Linked DNA regions of Callithrix jacchus. The main gene of each other region encodes a partner of the protein of the gene in region 2 in a complex. Links are inferred from orthologs where the notes say so. Each region holds a gene or a part of one and is shown on either strand. Other genes may lie near its edges.

What was found. Proteins that work in one complex are often made in the same cells at the same time.
Region 1: the proteins of GLB1 (region 2) and CTSA are in contact, whole or in part, in a cryo-EM structure (PDB 7KDV), measured with the Mus musculus proteins. The link is inferred for Callithrix jacchus from reciprocal best matches to the Homo sapiens genes GLB1 and CTSA. Residues at the interface, in NP_033882.1 of Mus musculus: Tyr198, Asp199, Arg202, His206, Leu229, Thr233, Leu234, Gln235, Asp236, Leu237, Lys258, Phe259, Glu260; in NP_001033581.1 of Mus musculus: Glu29, Asp31, Ala37, Lys38, Gln39, Pro40, Ser41, Phe42, Arg43, Tyr107.

Annotation. Positions count from the first base shown.
Region 1 is NC_133506.1:41,127,872-41,131,615, reverse strand, and holds the start of CTSA (lysosomal protective protein), read right to left. Parts: upstream 2,875-3,744; 5' UTR 2,784-2,874; intron 2,641-2,783; coding exon 2,456-2,640; intron 2,303-2,455; coding exon 2,191-2,302; intron 1,961-2,190; coding exon 1,910-1,960; intron 1,827-1,909; coding exon 1,740-1,826; intron 1,498-1,739; coding exon 1,342-1,497; intron 1,008-1,341; coding exon 916-1,007; intron 242-915; coding exon 157-241; intron 1-156. Other genes in the region: NEURL2 (neuralized-like protein 2), read left to right, coding at 3,229-3,744. UniProt on the Homo sapiens protein: Protective protein appears to be essential for both the activity of beta-galactosidase and neuraminidase, it associates with these enzymes and exerts a protective function necessary for their stability and activity.
Region 2 is NC_133518.1:71,218,902-71,222,545, forward strand, and holds part of GLB1 (beta-galactosidase), read right to left. Parts: intron 837-3,644; coding exon 686-836; intron 1-685.

The DNA.
Region 1 (3,744 bases), on a different chromosome or scaffold from region 2:
CTTAGACACGTGTCCCAGAGAACACTAAATTGCTTAAAGGTGCAAGATAAGAAAGCAATGAGGGATGGAGAACAAGGATTCCCCAAGGAGGGAATGTGATCCTGTTCTCAGGATTAGGGATGGCAGCGCTGATGCAAAGTGACGGCAGAACCTCACATTGGTCACGCATTCCGGGTCTTTATTGTCATAGAAGTTACACTTGTTTTGAGAGCAGCAGTGGGTCTGGAGAGAAGACCAGAGCCTGTAGGAGATGAGAGGAAAAGTGCATCAGCCTCTAGTGGAAAGAGGAAGGCAGAGGAGGTGAGCATACCCCCCACCTCCTACCAACCTCTCTGACCCTAGGGGACTAGGAAAGATATCACGGGGTGTGGTCTGTATATCACCTAAGCTAGCTCCCAAAGAGGTGCCCCAGGGTCATAAAAACAGGTCTCCTTTAAAATCTGATCTCTGGCTGGGCACTGTGGCTCATGTCTGTAATCCCAGCATTTTGGGAAGCCAAGGTGGGCAGATCACTTGAGGCCAGGAGTTCAAGTCCAGCCTGGCCAACATGGCAAAACCCCATCTCTACTAAAAATACAAAAAATTAGGCAGGCGTGGTGGTGTGAGCAGTGGTAGTCCCAGCTGCTTAGGGAGGCTGAGGCACAAGAATCACTTGAACCTGGGAGGTGTAGATTTCAGTGAGCCAAGATCGTGCCACTGCACTCTAGCCTGGGAGACAGAGTGAGACTCTGTCTCAAAAAAAAAAAGAAAATCTGATCTTTATTCTTTGGTTTTTTTTGGCGCTAAGTTCTTTCTGCAACTCACCAGCTGCTCATAAACCTGGGATGGGCCTGGCATATCATGTACCTGGAGGACAGACCCAAGATCATGTAACCTGCCCCACCCTAGAGATTGCCCAACTGCCCTATCCCATACCTGTTCCCCAGAAGGCCATGGTAGTAGGCAAAGTAGACCAGGGAGTTGTCATTCTGCTCATAGGAGGAGAGTCCATTGCCCACAGCCAGCCCCTGTGAAACACCCAGGGTGCTCAGCTCAGGTGGAGGATGAGGAGGAGGAGCCTCCCTCACCTAACACCCAGACCTTCAGCAATCCGGAAGCTGAAACCCAGGATGGTTTGTGGGGGCGGGTGGGTGTGGGAGGCTACTCAATGCAAAGGACAGAGCTGGCAGCCTGACAAGTGAGTTTCCTGCTATGGGAGGCACACAGACAGTCCTAGGGCAGCCACGGCAGGGAGGTTATGCAGGAAATTGGGTTGGATGGGGATGCTGACCACTCTGACCTTGCTAACTGCAAGGCCACAGTCACAAGGTGCCTCCCTTCCCTCTTGCAACTGCCCTGCACCTGAAGGTTCATGCTGGGGTCTTGCATGACCAGCACGGCCAGGGTGGGGATGTAGATGCCAGCATAGCTCTCTCCAGTCAGGAAAAGTTTGTTGTTCTTGTACTCCGGAAAGAGGCGGAAGAAATCTTGAAGGGCCTCAAAATTGCTCTGGGCGACCTGGGGACGGGAAAGCAAGACAGAGGGTAATCAGGAAGCTTTGGTATTTGGACTAGAAAGAACCTCAGCGATAATGACATCAATCCACCCTGTTTATGTAAGAGGAAGTGACTTGGCCACTATACCACAATGGCATAGGACAGAGCTAAAAGTGGACTCCAAGGCCAGGCTCTTTCTCCCATCATCGGGCCATGTATGGAGGACTGGGGAGCCTGGGGCAGATGGGCAGGCACAGGACTCACCTCAGTGTCATTGGTCGCATAAAATTTGTCATCAGAGTAGGAGAAGCCCACCCCCGCTGGGGACTCCAGGTATAACACATTGGCAATCTAGAGCGGAGGGAAAAATGAGCTAACCGCCACCCCATCCAAGTGCCCAGACACCTCCACAGGACCCACAGCTCCAGCTATACCAGGTTCCAAGAATAGGGGTTGTACTCCAGGGTGACACCATCTGGCTGGATCTGAGGAGGAGGAGATGGTTGGGTAAGTCTCATGGTGGAGGGAAAGGGCCACTATAAGAGGCACTTTACATGGCAAAACCCCTCAGAGGTACAGGCAGCAAAGCCAAAGGCACAGGAAAATCCCGATGCTCAGGAGTAAGGAAAACTTTTTGGAAAATCACAAAGTCCCTTCCTCCCTTTCCCCAGCCTTTTGCTTTGGGAACTGTGCTTTCCTGCTGCTGTCCACTCACCAGGAAGGGGCCATGCTCTGTGAGGAGCCCATCTAGGGAGCTGCAGCCGGGACCCCCATTGAGCCAAAGCACCACAGGGCTGTTCTCGGGATCCTTCTGGGACTCCACAAACCTGGGAGGGGTGTCAGAGCAGGGTTGGCGCCAAGTGGAGGGGCCCTTTCCAGCCCTCCGGGCTCCCAGGCATCCTCAGGGGTCTGCGAAACTACCCCCCACCCCTCCTCCATCATCTCTCCCCCCAATCCCGCTCAGAGACAGGGCGGCAGACCAGTAGTGGAGGTGCTTGGAGCCGGAGCCTTTGAGGTAGCCGGAGAACTGGCGGAAAGATGGCTGTTTGGCCAGCCCGGGGAGGCACTGGATCTCGTCCTGGTCGGGGGCTGCCTCGCCTAGGGGCGCCCAGAACACTAGCGGCAGCAGCAGCAGAAACAGCGGCGGCGGCGAGGCTCGGATCATCTGCGGGAGGCAGCAGAGGGGCTGTGGACTCGCTCCTCAGCGCTTCTGCGCCGCAGTCCCCGGGAAGGAGCTGAGGGCGCCTCCGCGAGGGAAACCCCGGCCCCAGCGCCAGCTCCCACCCGCGAGCCTCCTCCGCCGCGCACCGATCCCGGGCTCGGGGAACCCCTGCAGCCTCCAGTGCCAGCTCACCTCTGCTCCCCCGCGTCCTTCCTCTCCTGGAGGCGCCCGGGAACTGCAGATCATGTGTACTCCGAGTCACGTGAGCTCCGGCGCCACGTGACAGTCTTCCCCCCACCCCCCCCGCCCCTACTTCGGTGCCTACGGGCTGGGGGGCGGTGGAGGTCAATGCCGGGTCAAGGTCTGCGGGCTTCGCGGGTCGTAGCCCGGGCGCACGCGATCAGATGATCCTGGTGTGGACGGCCAAGTTCTAGGCGGGATGACTGAGTGAGCGGCGCTAGGACCCCCGGGCAGAAGCTCCGGGAAGGGAGCCACGGGGGAAATGCCTTACAAGGTCCCCTTGCGGTGACCATCCGATCCCGGCGCCCAAAATAGCCCCAGGCGCCCGCTGGCCTGCCTCATGGCTGGGAGATGGCTGCCGCCTCCGAGCCCGTGGATTCGGGTGCATTCTGGGGACCGGTGCGCCCGGAGCCCCCTCCCACCCGCTTCCATCGGGTGCATGGTGCCAACATCCGCGTAGACCCCTCTGGGATGCGGGCCACACGTGTGGAGAGCTTCGCCCACGGCGTGTGTTTCAGCCGCGAGCCGCTGGCCCCGGGACAGGTCTTCCTGGTCGAGATCGAGGAGAAAGAGCTGGGCTGGTGCGGACATCTGCGTCTCGGCCTGACTGCGCTGGACCCCGCCAGTCTGGCCGCCGTGCCCGAGTTTTCTCTGCCCGACCTCGTCAACCTGGGCCACACCTGGGTCTTCGCCATCACGCGCCACCACAACCGCGTGCCCCGAGAGGACAGCCCGGAGGCGGAGGCGGAGGCAGCGGCCCCCAGCCGACCTCCGGCCCTCCTGGTGGAACCATATCTGTGCATTGAGCAGTTTCGCATTCCCCGGGACCGCCTGGTGGGCCGGAGCCGGCCAGGGCTCTACAGCCAC
Region 2 (3,644 bases):
ATTGGAATACGGTACAATTAAGATCAGTCTGCAGGAATGCAATGTTCTGAGGACCAAAGCCCTTATAAAGATCGTCCCTTTTAATTTCACAACTACCCTGTGAGGCGACAGAGAAGACACCATCAACTGCTTCTTTTTCTTTTTTTGAGACGGAGTCTCACTCTGTCATCCAGGCTGGAGTGCAGTGGCGTGACCTCGGCTCACTGCAGCTTCCGCCTCCCAGGTTCAAGCAATTCTCCTGCCGCAGCCTCCCAAGTGGCTGGGACTACAGGCGCATGCCACCACGCCCAGCTAATTTTTGTGCTTTTAGTACAGATGGGGTTTCACCATGTTGGCCAGGATGGGCTCAATCTCTTGACCTTGTGATCCACCTGCCTTGGCCTCCCAAAGTGCTGGGATTACAGGTGTGAGCCACCACACCCGGCCCATCAACTGCTTCTTACAGATGAGCAAACTGAGTTATGTGAGTGACCACCAAGAGGAGAGTCCATGTCCTGACCCAGGCCTGCTTCTCTGTCTCTCTCTATCTGGGCACCTTGCCATGGTAAAAGACACCGGTGCTGGGTACAGTCACAGGCTCCATGCCATCTGGAATGCAGTTTTGCTTTCATTCCCTTTGCCCCAGAGCTGCTGCCTGCCAGCTCCAACACACCAGGCCGTCAGAGCCCAGGCCAGCCTCACTCACCATTTCCCACTCTGCACAGATGTAGGGGCCGGGCCTCAGGACAACCAGCAGTCCCAGCTCATGAGCCAGCCGAAGAAAATATTCCACATCATGCTCCTCAGAAAACTGGTACTGTCCTGGGTACGGCTCATGGAAGTTCCAGGGCACATACCTGCCAAGACACACACAGCCCCCTCTGGGATACTTGGCAGAGTCAAGAAGAAGGAGAGGTAGGGAAGGGGCCTCTTGAGGCTAACGCATGGATAAGAGGGCAAAGGAGCTTTGGAAGAAAAGTTATCCAAGGCTGGGCACAGTGGCTCAGGCCTCTAATCCCAGCACTCTGGGAAGCCACGGTGGGCGGATGGCTTGAGCCCAAGATTTTGACACCAACCTGGGCAACATGGTGAAACCCTGTCTCTACAAAAAACACAAAAAATTAGCTAGGATGCATGCTTGTGTCCCAGTTACTCTGGAGGCTTGAGGTGGAGGTTTGCTGAAGCTGAGGCGACTGAAGCTGCAGTGAGCGTGACTGCACCACTGAACTCCAGACTGGATGACAGAGTAAGACCCTGTGTCAAAATCAAGAAAAGAAAAATTATCCAGAATTTGAACATAAGGAAAAAGGGCGACCGCATTTCCTTTCCACGCCATAATGGAGGATGCCCAATGGGCCCACCGAGGCTCCTTTCATTCTCCAGGGGAAGTATTTCGTTTGACTTAGTATTTACTAATGATTAAGGGAAAAACTTTGAAGTTACAGATTAATTTGTAGATTACTGCCTGGGAGAGAAACAAATGATTATTGTCATACAGAGAAGACAACTCCAAAGGTTACTCTCTCATTCGCTGCCCTTTATGATACTAACCAGCTTTATCTCTAAGGATAACTTTATTTGAACATGCCTTTCTTGACTGACTATAAACCTCCCTTCCTCAAATTCTCCTTTGAATTAGCTTTACAATCTGGCTAGTTTTCTCAGTAATAAGTTAAATACATTTTTAAAAACTTTTATGTTGGGCTGCACGCAGTGGTTCACGCCTATAATCCCAGCACTTTGGGAGGCCTAGATGGGTGGATCACAAGGTCAAGAGATCGAGACCATCCTGGTCTACATGGTGAAACCCCGTCTCTACTAAAAATACAAAAAATTAGCTGGGCATGGTGGCGCGTGCCTGTAGTCCCAGCTACTTGGGAGGCTGAGGCAGGAGAATTGCTTGAACCCAGGAGACGGAGGTTGTGGTGAGCCGAGATCGCACCATTGCACTCCAGCCTGGGTAACAAGAGTGAAACTCGGTCTCAAAAAAAAAAAAAAAAAAAAAAAAACTTTTATGTTGGGTTCAAAGGGACATGTGCAGGTTTGATATATAGGTAAACTGCGGGTCATAGGGGTTTGCTGTACTGATAATTTGTCACTGCCTAGTACACGATATACATATTCTCTTCCTCCCACCTTCCACCCTCAAGTAAGCCCTGTTGTCTGTTACTCCCTTCTTTGTGTCCATATATGCTCGATGTTCAGCTCTCACTTATAAGTAAGAACATGGGGTATTTGGTTTTCTGTCCCTGTGTTAGTTTGCTCAGGTTAATGGCCTCTAGCTGCATCCATGTTGCTGCAAAGGACATGAGACATGATCTCATTCTTTTTGATGGCTGTGTAGTATTCCATGGTGTATATGCACTACATTTTCTTTATCCAGTTAAATAAATTTCTGACATATGTCCCTTGTATATTTGTTTATAACTCATGTTTTCAGCTTTTTATGATTACATTTTGCACAAATAATTGAATTAAGGTGCTCTGTGGAAGAGGAAAGAACTAAAAAATCCAGATCTCCTACATAAATTTCTAATCAGTCTGTAGAACCATAAACTCACAGGACATATAGACCGTCCTGCTTGGCAGCCTCTTGGGAGGGGCCTTTTATGAATTTTCACGGCAGCTCCCCAAGCTAATCAAACTTGGTGGGAACACTTTTGAAAAGCAACAACAACCGAAAACCCCAGAATTAGATAAACACTAATTCTTATTATATAAAAATTACAGCCGGCATAGTAGCTCACTCCTGTAATCCCTGCACTCTGGGAGGCCAAAGCACTGGGATCACTTGAGGCCAGGAGTTGAAGACTACAACGGGGAACAGTGAGACCTCATCTCTGAAAAAAAAAAAAATCAGGGCCGGGCGCGGTGGCTCAGGCCTGTAATCCCAGAACTTTGGGAGGCCGAGGCGGGTGGATCACGAGGTCAAGAGATTGAGACCATCCTGGTCAACATGGTGAAACCCCGTCTCTACTAAAAATACAAAAATTAGCTGGGCATGGTGGCACGTGCCTGTAATCCCAGCTACTCGGGAGGCTGAGGCAGGAGAATTGCCTGAATCCAGGAGGCGGAGGTTGTGGTGAGCCGAGATTGCGCCATTGCTCTCCAGCCTGGGTAACAAGAGCGAAACTCCGTCTCAAAAAAAAAAAAAAAAAAAATCAGCTGGTGTGGTAGCAGTGCCTGTGATCCCAACTACTCAGGAGGCTGCGGTGGGAGGATCACTTGAGCCCACTTTAAGATTTCAACTCGAAAAAATTGTTTTAATAAACAAAAATAAAAATTATATATGCCTATGTAAGGCTTAGGAAAAACAAGAATATCTTGCTAAAAAGTGGTAAGAGACATACTTCTTTTTTGAAGAAATCATTTTAGTAAGTGAAGGAAAAACTCCAACCCCTACATCCTCTGACAAAAGGTTTTGTGAGGAATCATGTGGCAGGAGGTAAAATGATGAAACCCTCTACCAGCTCCTCTGTCTACCCACAGACAGCACGGGATAAAGTCTGACATAAAGCCATCCATTACCATCACGACGCTCTCTTTCAAGGCCCTGGGCTGTGTCATTTTGTGTGTGTGTGATCCCATGATTTCGGGGTTCCTTGGGAACCGTCTTGGTCTTCCAGAACTCAGTGTTAGAATTATAAACAGGTGAACTTGGGTTC